Arabidopsis thaliana: one gene and its partners. The protein of the gene in region 1 purifies or fractionates together with the protein of each later gene. This does not show direct contact. Each region holds a gene or a part of one and is shown on either strand. Other genes may lie near its edges.

Evidence for each region. The genes of interacting proteins can lie anywhere in the genome.
Region 2: the proteins of BRI1 (region 1) and CRT3 purify together in Arabidopsis thaliana (affinity purification with western blotting, with the first as the bait; one study listed by BioGRID). This does not show direct contact.
Region 3: the proteins of BRI1 (region 1) and AT3G11130 purify together in Arabidopsis thaliana (affinity purification with western blotting, with the first as the bait; one study listed by BioGRID). This does not show direct contact.

Annotation. Positions count from the first base shown.
Region 1 is NC_003075.7:18,322,707-18,329,373, reverse strand, and holds BRI1 (Leucine-rich receptor-like protein kinase family protein), read right to left. Parts: upstream 4,918-6,667; 5' UTR 4,549-4,917; coding exon 958-4,548; 3' UTR 543-957; downstream 1-542. Other genes in the region: PLS (polari), read left to right, coding at 75-185. UniProt on the Arabidopsis thaliana protein: Receptor with a dual specificity kinase activity acting on both serine/threonine- and tyrosine-containing substrates.
Region 2 is NC_003070.9:2,667,283-2,673,888, reverse strand, and holds CRT3 (calreticulin 3), read left to right. Parts: upstream 1-1,931; 5' UTR 1,932-2,088; coding exon 2,089-2,200; intron 2,201-2,492; coding exon 2,493-2,600; intron 2,601-3,089; coding exon 3,090-3,282; intron 3,283-3,471; coding exon 3,472-3,730; intron 3,731-4,010; coding exon 4,011-4,067; intron 4,068-4,193; coding exon 4,194-4,241; intron 4,242-4,428; coding exon 4,429-4,515; intron 4,516-4,605; coding exon 4,606-4,663; intron 4,664-4,755; coding exon 4,756-4,823; intron 4,824-5,097; coding exon 5,098-5,193; intron 5,194-5,364; coding exon 5,365-5,421; intron 5,422-5,514; coding exon 5,515-5,601; intron 5,602-5,721; coding exon 5,722-5,754; intron 5,755-5,869; coding exon 5,870-5,881; 3' UTR 5,882-6,064; downstream 6,065-6,606. Other genes in the region: HDA08 (histone deacetylase 8), read right to left, coding at 382-968, 1,119-1,362. UniProt on the Arabidopsis thaliana protein: Molecular calcium-binding chaperone promoting folding, oligomeric assembly and quality control in the ER via the calreticulin/calnexin cycle.
Region 3 is NC_003074.8:3,489,024-3,493,958, forward strand, and holds the start of AT3G11130 (Clathrin, heavy chain), read right to left. Parts: upstream 3,043-4,935; 5' UTR 2,645-3,042; coding exon 2,600-2,644; intron 2,265-2,599; coding exon 2,060-2,264; intron 1,521-2,059; coding exon 1,432-1,520; intron 1,332-1,431; coding exon 1,253-1,331; intron 1,175-1,252; coding exon 1,047-1,174; intron 948-1,046; coding exon 849-947; intron 767-848; coding exon 658-766; intron 572-657; coding exon 492-571; intron 407-491; coding exon 179-406; intron 93-178; coding exon 27-92; intron 1-26. Other genes in the region: AT3G11150 (2-oxoglutarate (2OG) and Fe(II)-dependent oxygenase superfamily protein), read right to left, coding at 3,963-4,292, 4,791-4,935. UniProt on the Arabidopsis thaliana protein: Clathrin is the major protein of the polyhedral coat of coated pits and vesicles. Mediates endocytosis and is required for a correct polar distribution of PIN auxin transporters.

The sequences.
Region 1 (6,667 bases):
GAGCACGTGAGGCACACGTTCCTTGTGTAAGACTTGTTGTGGTGATGTTGGCGCAGTGTCTCACTGAAACATGAATGAAACCCAGACTTTGTTTTAATTTCAGGCGAAGGTCCATTTCTCCATGTTATATATCAATCTCTTATTTATTAGTAGCAAAATTGTTTAAACTTTTTAAAATCCATTGATCACCCTATCATTTTCAATATCTACATACAATCTTATGTCTCGATAAAGGTTTATCTTTATCTTATTATGCAATACATATCCCTCCCATTTCTATATTGCAAATTATGACATCAAAAAACCATTCTTTTGATTCTACTTGGGCCAATAACAAAATCAATAGTAATGGAAAAAATAACGTAGATGGATATAAATATAGTCCAACGGTTCAATTTCATCAGTAATAAGTATATAGCAAAAAAAAAAACGTTTAACTCAGCATAGTTCAAAAGGGACCACATTGGTCATGTAAATATAACATCCATAAAAACAAATTTAAGTCTCATCTATTCTCACTTTCCCATTCCCGTGCAGTGTGAATTCCCCAAATTAATTCCGACAATAATGAATTAATAGGTCACGTGCATTTACATGAACATGATCAGTCGAAATTTAATACACATTGGCTCTTTGTTTCTTCATGATTCATTATAAATTTAATTTGTTAGCAACGTAGAAATTTCCATAGAACTAAAAACGAAAACATTACAAATCCCTCCCCAAAAAACTGTATATTTACATATTCTTAACAAAGTTATTACTTAGTTCTATTCTCCACCACCCCCAATTCGACCGAGCCCGAAAAAAAAAACATCCGTCTTATGTATAAATAACATAGATACATACACTTAGCATATAGTAGAAAATACAAAAAAAATAGACCCAAGGAAAATCGGACTGACCCTTAGATGATTTTGATGTTCAAAGAATCTGCTTTGGCTCTGTTTCTAACTCTCATAATTTTCCTTCAGGAACTTCTTTTATACTCATATCAACCATCTCTATTGTACTGAACCCTCCATCCTCTATTGATCTGATCGTTGACTGTGAATCTATCCCTGACCCGGCTTGTATCTCCTTAAACATGGCCATGACTTGTACCATTGTCGGTCGTCTCCAAGCCCGATCATCCAAACACGCAACCGCAACTTTTAAATGTTGTAAAAGTTCGATCTCTAATGCTGGATCTTCCTTCATAAGCTCGGGGTCAAACACATCGCTAATCCGCAGTTTTGCGTGCTGTTTCACCCATCCAACAAGGTTGTTATCTCCAAAATCCGGTGAATCCGTTGGCCGTTTACCCGTGAGTAGCTCGAGTAAGACCACACCGTAACTATAAACGTCTCCTTTTGTTGAACACCTGAAACTTTGGTAATACTCTGGAGGAACGTAACCCGGTGTACCAGCTAATGTACTGACGCTTAAATGCGTATCCATCGCACTCATCAGCCTCGCCATGCCAAAATCTGAAACCCGAGCTTCCAAATTCTCATCAAGCAACACATTACTGGATTTCATGTCTCTGTGGATGATATGCGGACTGCAGTTGTGGTGAAGGAAAGCAAGCCCTCTAGCTGATCCTATCGCAATCTTCCGCCGTGTGGACCAGTTTAGTTTCACCCCAGCTTTCTTGGGGTCGTGCAAAACATCTTCTAAACTTCCATACTTCATAAACTCATACACAAGAAGCCGCTCGTCTCCAACTTTGCAATAACCAAGAAGAGGCACAAGATTTCGATGTTTGATCTTCCCAATGGTTTCCATCTCCGCCATGAACTCTCTATCACCTTGACCGCTAACATGAATCAGTTTCTTGATAGCCACCGCGCTTCCATCTTTCAAAATCGCTTTGTAAACATCTCCAAACCCACCAGAACCAATCAGACTATCATTATGGAAACCATTGGTAGCCTGAAGAAGATCCGCAAACGTGAGCTTCCGCAATGGCTTCTCGAAAGCAGCAAGATTGATACTCAAGGCTTCTTTCACACCAGTCAGCTTCCAATTGGTGTTGTTAGCAGTTCTATCGCCAGAGTTTCCATGTCCTTCCGCATACATCTCCAACTCCGCCTCTTTCTTTCTCCGTCTCTTCCTCATCTCTCTACCAACAAGGATCAGCCCAAATATACACACAAAAGAGAACAACAATCCCATCGCCACACTACCAGCAAGGGACGCTGGTCTCCTTCCATGAGATCTCTGATGATGAGCATAACCGTCTGCATTTGAAGGATCACACCGCGGAAGAGGATAACCACAGAGACCAGGATTGTTCAAGAACTTAGCCGGTGGAAAAGTCTCAAACTGACCCATCTCAGGAATCGGACCAGACAAATTATTATTCGACAAATCGATTTCCGTAAGCATAGTAAGAGCTGACATAGCCTGAGGAATCCTCCCATCGAGCTTATTGCTTGAAAGATCAAGAATGTTTAAACCTCTTAGATCACCTACCTCATCAGGAATCGAACCAGAGATATCGTTATGACCCAAATTGAGAATAAACAGATAAGGCATCGAACCAATCTCCTTCGGTATGTATCCAGACAACATGTTGTAAGACATGTCCAGAAACATCATCGAACCATTGTTATCAAACGTCGGCGAAGTGTGACCTCCATAGACTCTGCTAGTGATATTACAAGGGTTCCTCGTTGAAAGCCGGTTTAATTGTTCGGATCTGATTCCTTGAAACTCAAGTAAATTACCAGCTCCATGACACTCTTTCTTCATCCCATCGTTTTTGATATAAACGTACCTCTTACCGGCGATGAAATTGGCAGCGATTTTCCCGGATTGTTTAAACATCGCCGCCGGAATCGTTCCATTGAAGAGATTGGTGTTGAGATCAAGCCAGATTAAGCTTCTGCAGTCGCCGAGCTCAGCCGGAATGTTCCCGGAGAATGAATTGTTGCTTAGCTTGAGGATAGCGAGATTCTCTAACCGGCCAATCCATTTCGGAATCTCACCGGTTAACCGGTTATTCGACAGAGAAATCCAGTTAAGATTGGTACAGTTACTTAAACCGGAAGGGATTTCACCGGTTAAATCGTTGAAGTCGAGGATCAGAGTCTCTAAGGTCTTGACATACATGAGCTCCTGAGGGATCTCTCCTTCTAACATATTCAGCCATAGTTTCAGATCTCGAAGCTTCGATAGAGAGCCTAAGCTCGAAGGGATTGTCCCGGAGAGGTAATTGAAGCTCAAGTGAAGCGAAACCAGCTCAGAACAGTTGCTTAAAGTCGGTGGAATCTTCCCGGTGAAGCCATTGTTCTGAAGGTAAAGCTCCTGCAGAGTGTTTTTAGGGTTCTGGCAGAGATTTGGGAGAATCGGACCGGAGAAATTGTTGGAGCTGAGATCTAACGTTAGCAACGAAGCGGATAGATTCGTCAGAGATTCCGGTAATTCGCCGGAAAACTCGTTGAAAGACAGATCAAGTACTTTGAGTCCTCTCATCTTCAACAACGTATCCATCGGTAACTCGCCAGAGAAGTTGTTACTCGACAACGCGAGTGATTCGAGAAGAGAACATGAACCGAAGAATGGAGGAACCGCACCGTAGAAATGATTTCCAGAGAGATCGAGACCAGTGAGTGTATCACACGCGCCGGAGAGAAAGTCAGGGATCTCGCCGGTGAATTTGTTCTCGGCCAGAGAGAGGTATTGGAGACTTTTAAGCGGTAGCGGAGGGATTGGTCCGACGAATTGGTTACTAGAGATGTTCAACAACTTGAGCTCTGTGCAAGTAGAGATAGCACGGGAGAAATCGCCGGATAATTTGTTCCCGGAGATGTCAAGATGTTGCAGAGCAGAGCAATCTCCGAGGAAAGGAATCCCAGTGGAGAAATTGTTGGAGGAAACATCGAGAAACTCGAGATTCACGCAGCGAGAAACATCGACGTCTCCACTGATTTTGTTTCCGCTAATCGCTAAATGTTTCAACTCTCCACACCCATCGGAGAGAACCCAACCAACGACGTTAGCACCGGAGATTGAATTCGCAGAAAGATCCAGAACTTCCAAGCTGTTTAGCTTCAACCCACCTGAAACTTTCCCGGGAAAATCAAGTGTATTGGAAGAGACGTTAAGAAACTTCAGACCGGAGCAAGAACCAAGGCTTGTTAGAGTCGTTACAGGACCCGAAAGAGAGTTTCTAGATAGATCCAAGCTGGTTAAAGAAGCAGAGCACTTGAAGCCAGAAACGGAGCCATTGATGTGTGAGTTTGAGAGAAACAGAGACTCTAATCCGGTGAGAGACAGGAGAGACGAGGACACGGCACTGAATCCGACGTTGAGAGGCTTGGAGCTGAGATCAATCGAAGTAACTTTGTCGTCTCTGCAAGTAACGCCATCGAAAGTACACGGGTTTTTGTTGGAAGACCAGTCTGGGAGAAGATTCTTGTCAGGAAGAACGTCTTTGAAGCTTATAAGCTGATGGATTTCTCTGTATAAAGACTGAGATGGTGAAGCTTGAAATGAAAGAGAAAAGAAGGAGAAGAAGAAGAGAGTTGTTACAGAGAGAAAGAAGCTTGAAAAAGTCTTCATTTCTCAAGAGTTTGTGAGAGAGAAAAGTGTGGGAAGTAGAGAAGATGAAAGGGGGAATCTAGGGTTTTGGTTCCACCATTAGAGAGGAAGTGGAAGCTCTAGAGATAGAAAGAGAGAGATTGAGGAAAGCAGAAAGAGAGGAGAGAGAGAAGAGAGTCAAAAGACAGAAGAAGGAAGATGGAAGAAGGTATTTATCAAATGGTGAAGGGAAGAGTGGTCACAGCTGTGCACTCACATGCCATGTTACCTCTTCTTCTGATTATTATAAAAATTATATATATTAATTTCAATTTCGATAACAGATACAAACAAATAATACTACTTTTAATTATTGTATGTGGTTATAAAAAAAAAGTTAATTAATGCAAGAGGATACTAAAAATAAATAAAATAATGGCATCACAAAATCCTTAATCTCATAGTAGCTTTTGTTAAGTTTAAGTTAAAGAAATGAGGTATTTTGTCTGTACATGAGAGAGGTGTTTAATTAACGTGAGATTAGGGGATGGGATCAAGTCTTCTGCAAGCTACATATCCTACTTACCCTTTTTAAACTCTTCTTAAGACTTTATTGTAACATTTGTATACATTTTACCCCCAACCACCTATCTCTTGATTCTCTTCTCAATATTTTTAAAACACAAGTCTAATCTGATCTTCTGTTTAGTGCTGGGTTTTTTTTTATAATAAGCATATATATTCATTGATTTTTATTTTTATTAAAAAAAAAATCAAGATAATTCATGTTATATTTTTCTTCTTACTTGGTTGGATCTTGATCGGTGAATTATTGGTGTATGCACTCACTGTCACCCAATATGCAAAACTTTTGATTCTGATATAAAGATGCCAGCAACTAACTAATTCCACATTTATGGACTAATGGTTAAGTAGTGTTCAGTAAAAATGGAACATAGTATAAGCATCTAAATTTCTTTTATATTGATACTCATATACAACAAGATTTGGAGCATTCAATGTGATAGTTTGAAAGAGTTCAAATTTACTTTAATGTTAAGGTAATACATACATATTTTTACATGAATTTCACACCAACCACAAACATTTCACATTAACACTCTTCTCTTGTTCACTCTCACTTGTATCTGAAAGAAAAACTAAAAATAAAGTGGAGGAGAGATTGTCTCTATAGCTTTTTGCAAAAGAGAAACAAAAAAAAAAACGAACGTACGTGTGAGAGACGATTGGGACATGAGTGTCAATTAATGGCAGATTCCATCTCTTTTTAATAATCAGAGAAGTATTATTATTAGTTTTCGATAAACCTTTTCCCACTAATTAATCCCTCCTTTCACTTTTAAACTGCTTTCTTTTTCTCTGGCACTTACATAGACGGATAGACCAAACTTCTCTTAAAGCCTTATTCTATTATTTTTTCCTTCTGTCGCAGTTTTATAGAGATATTTCGTAATTATGTACAAACCCTACGTGCAGCTGTACCCGGTGTATACATAGTTACATAATTAACAAAAAATTCACTTTATACACATAGTTTTGGGTAACAGGAACTTGACTACTTGAGTAGTAAACTTTTCAATTAAATTCGAGATATGTTACTATCACTTTAACTTTTGTAGAGAAAATGTCGTCTGCAATGGTAACTGGTTTGAAGGTTCAACTTTCAGCGAATAATACTGCGATACCATTTTCAAATAAAGAAGGAAGATCATAGAGAATGACATTTGTGTAACTATCTATCGCAAGTGTAACACTTTTTTTGGAAGGTTTGTATAAGTACAATTGAACAGAAAAACAAACAACCTGATAGAATACTATATTGGTACAAGTAACTTTTTAAATACAAACTGAATGAAAAGTATGTTTAGTGATGTATTAATTTCGTATAATAGAACATTTTATTCTATAATGTCATCATAATCAAGCAAAACGCCAAAATAGTGTAATGATTCTAACTTCCAAAAAAGGGACGAAACTGTCCTCCCCACACTCTCATTTATAAGCGCTCGTGTGACAAATCACCCACGCTCTCTGCTCGCGCGTCAGACATACGTGAACACAAAACGGCGTTGTTTCTACATCGAGCCACCATTGCGACGTGGTCTACACGCGCTCATGGAGGTGAGTGCGATTGGTGGAG
Region 2 (6,606 bases), on another chromosome or scaffold:
TCTTCCTTTATTCCTCTCTGAATAAGAATGCAAACTGAAGCAAAGAATCCAAAGATATAATCTTATGGTGAATTCTCGAGCACCCTAGACTCTTCCAATGCAAAACCAATACCCAAATCCCTAGACAACCCATTCCTCCTTTGGTCATCTTCCATTTATACTGATTCGTTTATCTTTTGCTGACTGAATATTAGAGAGATGACATGACTAATGCAACAGCTGCACTCTTCTAACTACTTATGCAGACTTATCACAGCAGAGCCATATTGGAGCAGCATACATAAGCGATTTACTTGTAACCAAAACAATAATTGCGAACAAAACCCTGAGTAAGTGCTCAGTCAGATAGTCTACACGTATTTGGGCAAAGAAAGAACTTACAGCGCTAGAGTCTTGACCAACAACGAGAACAACCATATCGGGTCCAAACCTTCTAACTGCAGGAACCACCAGCTCATTCATGGCATATTCATATCCCCGGTCACCCGTGCCATTCGGTAAAGGGACATTCAGATTGTAACCCAATCCCACGTCTTCACCAAGTTCATCAATCGACCCTTTCTGCGGGTGGGACGATCCCCATGATCCATGGTTCATATGGAGTGACACCGTAAGAACCTTATCAGATGTATAAAACCCTTCAGCTGTGCCATTTCCATAATGTACATCGATGTCAATAACCGCAACTCGGGAACAAGAACCCGAATTCAATGCCAGCTTGACAGCAAGAGCAGCGTTGTTGAGGAAGCAATACCCATCAGCCTGAGTAGGCTGTGAGTGGTGACCTGGTGGGCGTACCAGAGCATATGCAATTTTCCCATGGCAATCAAGAATATGTTGCATTGCTGAAAGAGTTGTTCCAGCTGCAAGAAGAGCAGCTTCCCACGAGCCTGGGCTCATGAAAGTACCTGCGGCAATTTCACACCTTTCTCCTGATTTATCTGCCTCCACTAGCTTCTCAATGTACTCTGTACAAGGATCACAATGGATTACATGAGAAAGCAATAATCACAAATCAAAGTCGAATTTTTTAAGGTTAAGATTTGTCAAAACTACCAAATTCAGAAACAGGTTTTTATAAAAGTTCCTTCTTTTCTGCGAACCTTAGAGCGATGTACCTGAAGTGTGAAACATTAGAAGCTCCGAAACGATTGCTGGAAGACCGGTAAACCAATTGACATGAGGAGCGATGGGACCGCGTCGGAGAATCGAAAGCATGTTCCTGACGCGATCGGCGTTCTCCGGGTGCTTCTCCAATACGTCGAGGAATCCAGGGTCGTATCCAGTGTCGAAGACGCCTTCTACGGCGTCGTGTCGGAGCATTCCTTCGTGCCAGAAGACGTCTACGCGATTGGTAACCATCGGAGAAGCCGGCGACGAAGATAGGCTTGAGCCGTCGTCGGAGGCCAACGGTGGTGTAATAATGGAGGATGCTCACGCGCAACACACGTGTTCTCTAACCATTGAGATAACAAGGGGTATAAATGTCTTTTCCAAATAAACTCAAGGATTAAGTTAATTTCGGAGAAGAGAAATTTCGTGCTTATTGGGCCTGGACTGAACATGCTGTTAATGACATGTTGTACTGTTTTAGATTGGAGCTTTTTGGATTTCGTTATCCCACATTTAATTATTGTAGAACCTTTATTTTTTGACTACAAAAAAAATATATTCTTCGCTCTCATAAAATAAAGAAAATATAATTGAATTTATTTATGATTCATATTCGTATAAAAAACATTTGGCTACAAGTATCATGTACAAAACATTCGGCTAGATTTAGTTAGAACAAGATTTGTTATAAATCATAATGGCAATATAAGAGATTAGAGCAAGAAACATAGCAATTATTATTTGAGACCAGTTTTGCCCCATTTCTTACGATGATAAACGACTTTGAATATTCTTCAGTCCACTCCACACTGCGACGACGACTTGAGAAAAACAACATAGAGAAAAAAAGAAAAATCCAAACCTTAGGGGCAATATTGTAACTAAACCAAACGACACTGAGTCAACATTCTGCTTTGCTATAAAGGCCCAAGCACAATTTTTCAGTAACCATGATGAAGTGAGAAATTCTGAAAAATGGGATTACCTCAAAATAAGCTCAGTTTTTTCTGCTTCTTCTTCCTCGTCTCTGTACTAACTCTTGCCCCATTGGCTTTCTCCGAGATCTTCTTAGAGGAGCATTTCGAAGGTGAAGTATATATATAAACACTCTTCTCTCTTTTTTTTCCTTTTCTGGGAAACAAAACAACGATTTGTTATTTTTGTTTCCTTTTTGAATATATTGCTATGATTAGTAAGTAGTAACTTTCCTTGGTAGATTTTGATTTGATTAGGATAGTGAATCCGAATCCATCCTTCACTAGAATCTTCTATTATAGGCTTTGCTTTTCCTATTCTGGTTAATATAACGATTCTATGGTTCTGGATTTTGGCTTTCTATTTATAGGTTTATGGAATTAACTTAGTAAGATTGTGTTCAGGTGGATGGAAAAGTAGGTGGGTCTTGTCTGATTGGAAAAGAAACGAAGGCAAAGCTGGAACCTTTAAGCACACTGCCGGTAAATGGCCCGGCGATCCTGACAATAAAGGTACTTCCTTTCGCCCACCTTTAAGCACACTGCAGAACTCCGTCTTTTTGGCGTTAAGGGTCTCACTTGATTTTCAGAATACGAGAATCTATATCACCATTCTCCCTGTGATCTTTGTTATGTTGCAGTGTTTTAGTTCTTTGATATGTTCTTGTTAGCTGCCACTTGTGTGTAGATCTTCAGCTCTTTTGTTATGTGGACTAAGACATGGAGTTCGCAAGTCTACTGCCTTTCGATATTTGAAGTTATCTTGAAGAAAATTAAATCTTTAATTGGTTATAATTAGGATTTCTATTTTAGTTCTTAGATATGTTTGTTTCAGCAGCAGGTTTGTGTGTAGATCTTGAGCTCTTTTGTTCTGTGATACAATTATGGATCGTCAAGTGTACTAGCTTTCGATCTCGAAAGTTAACTTGAGGAATATAGAATCTTTATTTGGTTTAACTTAGTATCTTTTTCTTTCTTTTTTGATTTTCTTGATGTGTTTAGGTATTCAGACTTATAATGATGCCAAGCATTATGCGATTTCTGCAAAGATTCCTGAGTTTAGCAACAAAAACCGGACTCTTGTTGTCCAGTACTCAGTCAAGATTGAACAAGACATTGAATGTGGTGGTGCTTACATTAAGCTCCTGTCTGGCTATGTTAACCAGAAGCAGTTTGGTGGTGATACTCCATACAGGTAATCATACATTAATGCTTTTTCAATGAACATCAGTTGATAGAATGTTATATTGCAATCTAAGTCAAGTTGCGTTGATTTAGTTAATCCAGTGAACTTTGATAAATGATTACATGTCCATGTTTTTTACAACAAAGTCGTCACATGGTGTTGTTGTGTTTGGGGATTCTCATTAGTTTTTCTATGCAGTCTAATGTTTGGACCAGATATATGCGGAACACAGACGAAGAAGCTTCATGTTATAGTTTCATATCAGGGACAGAATTATCCAATCAAAAAGGATTTGCAATGTGAAACAGACAAATTAAATCATTTCTACACATTTATTCTGCGTCCTGACGCTTCTTACAGCGTTCTGGTGGATAATAAAGAGAGAGAATTTGGCAGTATGTACACAGACTGGGACATCCTTCCTCCAAGGAAGATCAAGGTCAAGAATGCAAAGAAGGTAACTGTCTGGGTGCTTATAAGGTTTCATAGACTCTTTCTTAAATGCAATGTGAATTTCTGAACCAAACATTTGCAAGGTTGGATAACCTTTTTCTGAGATAGTTACACTTAGCTTTTAGCTATTATAATTTATGATGTATGACGAGGAAAATGGATTATGGTTTTGATCTGAGGTTATACTAAATTTTCATAGAAGAGCAAGATATGCAGTAAGCCAGTAACACTACATTTCTTTTAGCTTTCACCTTGATAGATTCTTAACAGTCTGTATTTTGCAGCCAGAGGACTGGGATGATAGAGAGTACATCGATGACCCCAACGATGTCAAACCCGAGGTAACTTTTTAGTAAACTTAGCAATATAGAAAATACAATTTGTATTGAAAGGAAGCTATTCAGTTCCCATTCTCTTAATTCTTAGTTTAATTCAGGCAACTGGCTCGTTCTTCCTTTTGTAACCAGGGTTTTGATTCTATTCCACGTGAAATTCCAGATCGTAAAGCTAAAGAGGTATGTACTGTTATATTAGATTCTTTAAATGATTGGTCGTTATTTTTTAGTCTCAGAGATCCATCATTCTTTCTTCATTCTATATCACTGCAAATTCTGACATTATGGCACTCATTCTTTTTTGGAACTCATTACTGTGTTATAGTCTGAAGCTTTGTGTCTTGTATCTCTCTCTCTACTTGTTTAGCCCGAGGACTGGGACGAGGAAGAAAATGGTCTCTGGGAACCTCCAAAGATCCCAAATTCTGCGTACAAAGGTCCTTGGAAAGCAAAGGTTATTATATGACAGTCATCAATGGTTATATAGATTACTGTTTTTTCTTCTTCTCCATTTGACATTTCTCAAAACATTATTTTCCTACAGAGAATCAAGAACCCGAACTACAAGGGAAAATGGAAGAACCCATGGATAGATAATCCAGGCATGTTTCTACCTATTTAATGTGTATGTTCATTTTGAGCTGGATTTCTTCTTGTTATAAATACTAAGCTTGAGCTTCTCGGTTTTGCACAGAATTTGAAGATGATCCAGATCTTTACGTTCTGAAGTCTATCAAATATGCAGGCATTGAAGTATGGCAGGTAAGTTCTAGAGCTTTCTTGAATTCCATCAAATATTAACTTTTATAATCACTACATCATCACCAGATATGGATGAATATTTATATAATATTCACTGCCAATTAGTTCTTTTAACATATATATGCTGCTTGTACATATAGGTCATCCAAATTTTTAGGGTTGAAAACAAAACCAAAAGAAACAGAAAAGATCTGATAAAAAGTCTTCATTTTAGACGAGGGATCAAACTTATCTAGTGCATCTGAATGAAAAAAAAATGATCTTAACACTGCAGGTGAAGGCTGGCTCAATCTTTGACAATATATTGATCTGCGATGACCCGGCATATGCAAGAAGCATCGTGGATGACTATTTTGCCCAACACAGGGAGGTAGATTTCCAAGTCTTTGTATATCTTTTTGCTTCTTTTTGGATAAAATCAAAGAAGTTTTTTGATCTTGCAAGTGTGTAGTAATTGCAAATGGATTTTCTGCATGCTATTATATACGAAAATGTCTTATTAGTGAATTTGATATGCTATATACTTGGCCATATGCACCAGTCTGAGAAGGAGTTATTTGCGGAAGCAGAGAAAGAAAGAAAAGCTAGAGAAGATGAGGTTTGTAGTTCACAAAAAAGTTCTTGTTCTCTTTTCAAGTCTTCTCTGTATATCCTAGTTAACGAGCATGGCCATACAAATCAACGTTTACAGGAAGCTCGGATAGCACGGGAAGAAGGTGAACGCAGGCGGAAAGAAAGGGACCACCGGTATGGAGACAGGAGGAGGCGTTACAAACGGGTAAGTACTTATTTGAGTCCAAATGAATTATAACCTTCTCAACTCTGTTTTATCTGGAAACCAAGTGAGTGAATATTGTTGGAAATGGTTTGTTTTGTTTTGTTTTGTTTTGTTTTGCAGCCGAATCCACGTGATTATATGGATGATTACCATGTAAGTGTTCCTTCTATCTCAACCACTTTAAAAAGAATGGTTTATGCAGTTTAGTACTGAATCATCTTAACTGTTCTAAAAATGTAAGTTTGTTATGATTCTGAATTTCGTGTAGGACGAGCTATGAGGCGCAGAGTGGTGGGCATTTGGCAAAGCATTGGGGGAAATTATCTATATTTTGCTTTGAATGTGTGTTTGTAATTTCATAATTTGTAACCTTTTGTATTCATATTCTTATAATGTATTTTGGCATGAAAACTTGACTTGTTATTTTTCCCTTCCAATACAAAAATTCTAAAATTGGCAAGAACGACAAACTACCATGCAGTGATTTGTGAAGTTTGATAGTGGTGGTAATTTTAATTGTTTCACCACAGAAAATTTCTCTATATCCTGAAGAAGATAGCTGAGTTGAACTGAGAGGTTGGCGTTTCTTAGTGAAAATACAAAAAATAGAAATCTTTAGCTAGAAAGTGTGGTGTGGACTGATGGTAACCATGTTCATTTGGAGGAACTAATGTGAATATTAGCTAAAAGCATATTGTTGAGTGTTGACAAAATGACAACAGATAAATCGTCAAATACTACTCCACCTAGCTAATATTTTTTTTTAACTAATGTTAGAAAGCCACCTATTTGCATCCGTAATGATAAAAACTAAAAAAATATAAGATTATAAGAGTGATACATTTTGTGTGAAAACGTAAACGAAAGTCAAAAGAAAGAAAAACGAAAGAATTTTAAATGCGTTTTATGTTGGGCACAAATGTTGTGACTTGTGTGTACCTTTTCCCACTTTAAATGTACGGCTGATAATCACATCAGTGGCGACTTTAGGAAATAGAAAATTCG
Region 3 (4,935 bases), on another chromosome or scaffold:
TCTGATCCAAGATAATTATCACATACCAGATTTTCTGCACCAGGGAGGTTTCCTCTTTTAGCAAGATTGACAGCAAGTTCCAAATTGTTCAACTGTAATATAAAGGCATAGATTTCTTAGCATGTCATGATGAATAGATAGATTATATAGAGAAGAACAAAGTAAAAGTTGAACATACTTGACCACTAATAAAAGGTATTATGGTGGCCTCATTTACTGTTGCCAAAAGAACTTGTCCTCGCCTATTAATGGCATAGAAACCCCCAACTGAGGAAGCTTCAGACGTTAAGAAAATTGGGTCCGGACTTATCCGATTTCTGTAGATAGCAGAAGCTGTCTCTAGATCATATACAAACAGCAGGCCAAGCTTGGTGATGACATAAATCAAGTTAAACTTGTGAGAGACCTGTTGGGAGAAAGAGAAGTCGGTGTCATGAATTTTTCACAAGAAACTTACTGAAGTTAATTGAACAGCTAATGCAACTACAAACCTGCATGGCCACAGGAAAATCATCAGCAAAATCTGGGGGGAAAAAGAGATCTGCCTGCTTTTTTGTAAATGATGGTTTCCCTGAAAAAAAGCCGCCCACCTTTAAACATCAGACTAATACCAACTAACAATAACCATGAAAATATAGAGCAGTAGTTTAAGCTAACCTGGTTGGGCACCAAGTTCAATAACATGCAGCTTTGATGTTATCTGCCCAGCATTAAAGCTCTTGCTTGCAAATGATATAAGAATCGAAGGATTCTCATTCCCAGGGACCTATCAATAATAATGTCGCTTGTCATACTACAGTTCAAGATCCGACCATGGAATGAAGTAGCAAAGGTATCACATAGTTTACCTTAAACTGAGCAAAAGATGCAGCATGTGCTTCAAGGGCCTGGCTCCGCTGTTGATCCACAGAGAAAAGCTGCATATTTCCTTTCACCAATTGTGGTCTCTACAGAGGATAATAATGACAAGATTCCGTCAAAAATATACAACATGACTGCCGTTATGATGTCTTAATTCAACCTAATACGTGGTGCAGGAACCCTACCTCAGGAGAGCCAGGGGCAATTCCAATCAAGACCAACCACTTCTCATTAGGAGAGCACTTATAGTTTATAATTTGATTGTTTGCCAAATTAGCCGTTCTATCAAACATCTTAACTGGCTCAGAATCACCTGGAAATATCGAAGCAAAAATGAGAAACAACATATACATGATATGAAGAAGCTGACAGTAAGTTAAAGATATAAAACCTTCAATTGACCAATGATACACAGAAGTTTGTGTGACCAGTCCCAGCATCTTAGGTGTGATCCACTTCCAAAAAGCAACCTATAATATCCAAAAAATTCAGACCAGTAAAATCAGAGTCTGTCTGAAGAGTACAACATGAAAGATAATCGGGTTACAATTTGTTTGCTTCAAAATTCACCTGCTCAGGCATCTGATGTGACTTCAACTTTGCCTTTGCTTCAATGTTAAATATCTGTAGATGATCCTGAGTAGTTCCTGGAACTTGAGCTATATACGATACGAATTTAAGAAAAAGTTAACAACAAATTAAGGAAGAAATAAGTAATAGCTTATACAAGGAAACATCCAGTACAAACCAAAATTTCTAGTTTAACTACACTAAGCTTGAGACACAACACTGCCACGAGAAATATAACACGTGTTGGAAAACAGAGAGCGCTATACTGATGTTTTCTACAGCATTAAACATGCTATCACCCCAAATCCAGAAAAAGAGTATAGGACTACAACATAAACTCGAAGAGTGTAGTTACACTTCCATACTACTTTAATAAAAATAGGTTTTCTATCAAGTGACGCATCACAACATGGACAGAGTCATTTAAACTTCAAATAAATCAAAACATCCTATCCGTAATAAATAGCATATGTACAGTTAACAAAATGAAGGAGAAGCTATCAATGGTAGTTCTGGAGAAAACTTTAATAGGAACCACTTATGGGTCTTATAACTGATCATACACTTCAAAAGGAGAATCTTATGGGTGTTATAAGTGATAATGCGATCGAAGGAAACAGTGTAATACCTTTTAAGGCAAGGATCCTCGAGTTTGGGTTCATAAGAGCAGAATCAGCAGTTATAGGCCTCCTTAAAGGCTGCATCGGCATATTCATATCGATAATTACAACACTGTTCTGCGGTGCCGTCTCTCGTACACATATGTACTTATCAGACTCCATAGTAACATTTGTAAAGGTGATGAACTGTTGACCGATCCCAACGCTCGGAAGCTGGAAAATTTCCAAAACAAAAGTAATCAATTGGCATAGTTCATTAACTTAGTTACAAGATCCGAGTAGATAAGCACATTGCGCAACACAATAACTTAAAACTAAGGACTATATACATTCAGATAACACAGATCTGAGCGTCCGCAGAGAAAATCTGATCAGAGAACTTGATCTCAACGATCGGGTAGAATTGAGAACAGAATGAAACTTGAATCAATCATATAACAGTGTGAGCAGAACCAAATCGATAGAAATCAGAGACTACAACTATAGAAACATGTTAATCGTCCAAAATTTTAGCTCGATTCCCGGAGATTTAAAAACAGAGAACTCACCGTTAGGACCTCCTTCATAATGATGGGCGCGTTAGCAGCCGCCATGTTTGACCTCAGATCGCGGCGAGAGAATCCGGGGCCAGAATCAGATCCACGGAAAGGACGGGACCGTCAACGGCCGAGCGATGCGAGAGAAACTAAGGAAGATTTGAAATCGCAGCCAGATCTGAGGCAAGTGAAGGAGAAAGGTGATGATGGTGGAGAGAGATTCGTTTTTTTCTTTTTGGAAAGTGAGAAATGACGAAATAGCGATCCAATCGGAGTCACTCGTCGAATATAAGGAGAGAAACCAAAGGAGAGACGACGTGCTACAAGTGCCTGAGCTGTACGATGTGCTTTTGCCAAAGTTACGGGTTCGGATAGTATTCGGGTCGAGTTTCAAACCGCGTAAATCGACGGGTCGGGTTTTGTCACGACACACACTACTTTTTGGGAATTTTATGCGTATGTTTTGAGCAATGGTCAATGACTCAATCATGGTTAAAAATTAAGATGAACACAAACGAGAACGAAGTTTGAAATAAATTTTCTAAATATGGAGATGAAACAAAAAAAAAAAAACTTTTTACCAAAAAAAAAAAAAGATATACGAAATTTTCTATTATATCTTATCAAAATTAGGGTATGAAGACCAAAATATTTAAATTTATGTCGATTTAAGTGTTGCATGAAAAAATCGTATAAGAAATTTACGTCGATTTAATTAGTGTTTAGTGAAGATTGTATTACTTATAATTTTAACTCGAATTAAATGATATAATCAATTTTGATGTATATAATTCATTCTCACAAGAAAATTAAAGAGCAACACCAATATGGATCACTAAATAAGTAAACATGTATACGTAGATTTGAAGTCATTCATTGATATTCTGCCTCAATGAGAGATTAAAAGCCAACACTGTATTTCCTCATTTTCAAAAACAGGATGCTATAAGCGTTTGTGTCACCTTCTAATTATAACAAATAATCAACATTGGAAAACAAAAGTTATGAAGTAGAATTTGGTTATGATCTCAAAAGACTCAGTTTTAAAGTACATCATCAAAGTCATAGATTCTTCTATATAAAATCTAGGAGTTGAGTTTAGTGTGATAGAGTCATTGGTGTAACCTAAAAGTTTGATTTTGAAATAGTGACAGTTTTGATATGAGTATATATGAAAAAATTAGTTGAATGATGGAGTGACTATCAAAATAGAACATTCTCTGAACTGAATCGAACAAAAACAAAAATATCTCAATGCTAAAATGCTAACAATCCGCTGAAAATCAAAAGATTTTATGGGGGAAAAAAAGTAACAACAAGAACTATAGTACCAATTCAACCCAAGAAAGAAACAAACAAATCAAACATCGGTTCGTCAATCTTTTAAAGATTTGATTCTGTATCTGTCAAGTGGATCCCTGAAGAAGAGACGTTCTTGGTACACTCTCCATGCGTACTCCTTGAAACTAAAAGGCCTAAATGCCCTTCTCTCATCACTTCTTGCTCCTCCATCTTCTTCCTCCTCCTCTGCATACTCTTCTTCTTTGTCGCCGTCACTGATCATATCCTTCAATGATGAAACCATACTGTCCATGGGAAGTGTAAGCATCAATGTCATTGTTACACACTTTACTGGACCATCTTTTTGTCCTGAACACAACACTGGTCGATATTTCACTCTTTTGACCTCTCCATTTCTCCAAACCTGCCAATTTTAAGTTGTTTGTTAGCTGTTCAAAAGTTGAAAACTATATTGTAGAAAGCTGTTAGGTTTTGACCTAAAAAAAAAAGAATTGTTGAATTCTATAGGACACTAAGTACAATTGCGATGTGATGTGTATAAGTATTTAAATATCGGAAATTTCCAAATTCTTATTTCTTTCCCAATGCCATAAATCTGTTTCAAACGAAAAGTGAAAACACATTCCCCGGTTATGCTCCACAATTGTTGTTGTTGTCAACAATAAATATCGGAAATATCCAAATTCTTGTTCTCTTTTTGAACGATGCGTTGGAAAACATTTATTTTGGATAATGTTTAAAATACATTAAAACAGCCAGTTAACGGTATAGTGGAATAAAGTTCCATTACAAAGGATGATAATTTGATAATTATTTAAGGAAGACAACTAACCAATTAATTATAGATAAATAAAAGAGATATATGTGTTCTGTCAATTGTCAAAAGCAAAAGAGAACTAACCTGAGCAATGTCACCCAACGTCACAAGAACCGAGTCAACTCGGGGTAAAACGGACACCCAACCAGACTCGGTTAGCAAACAATACTTCTGTTCCCTTATCTGATACTGTAAACAAACAACAAAAGGATAAAATCCGTTGGTTACC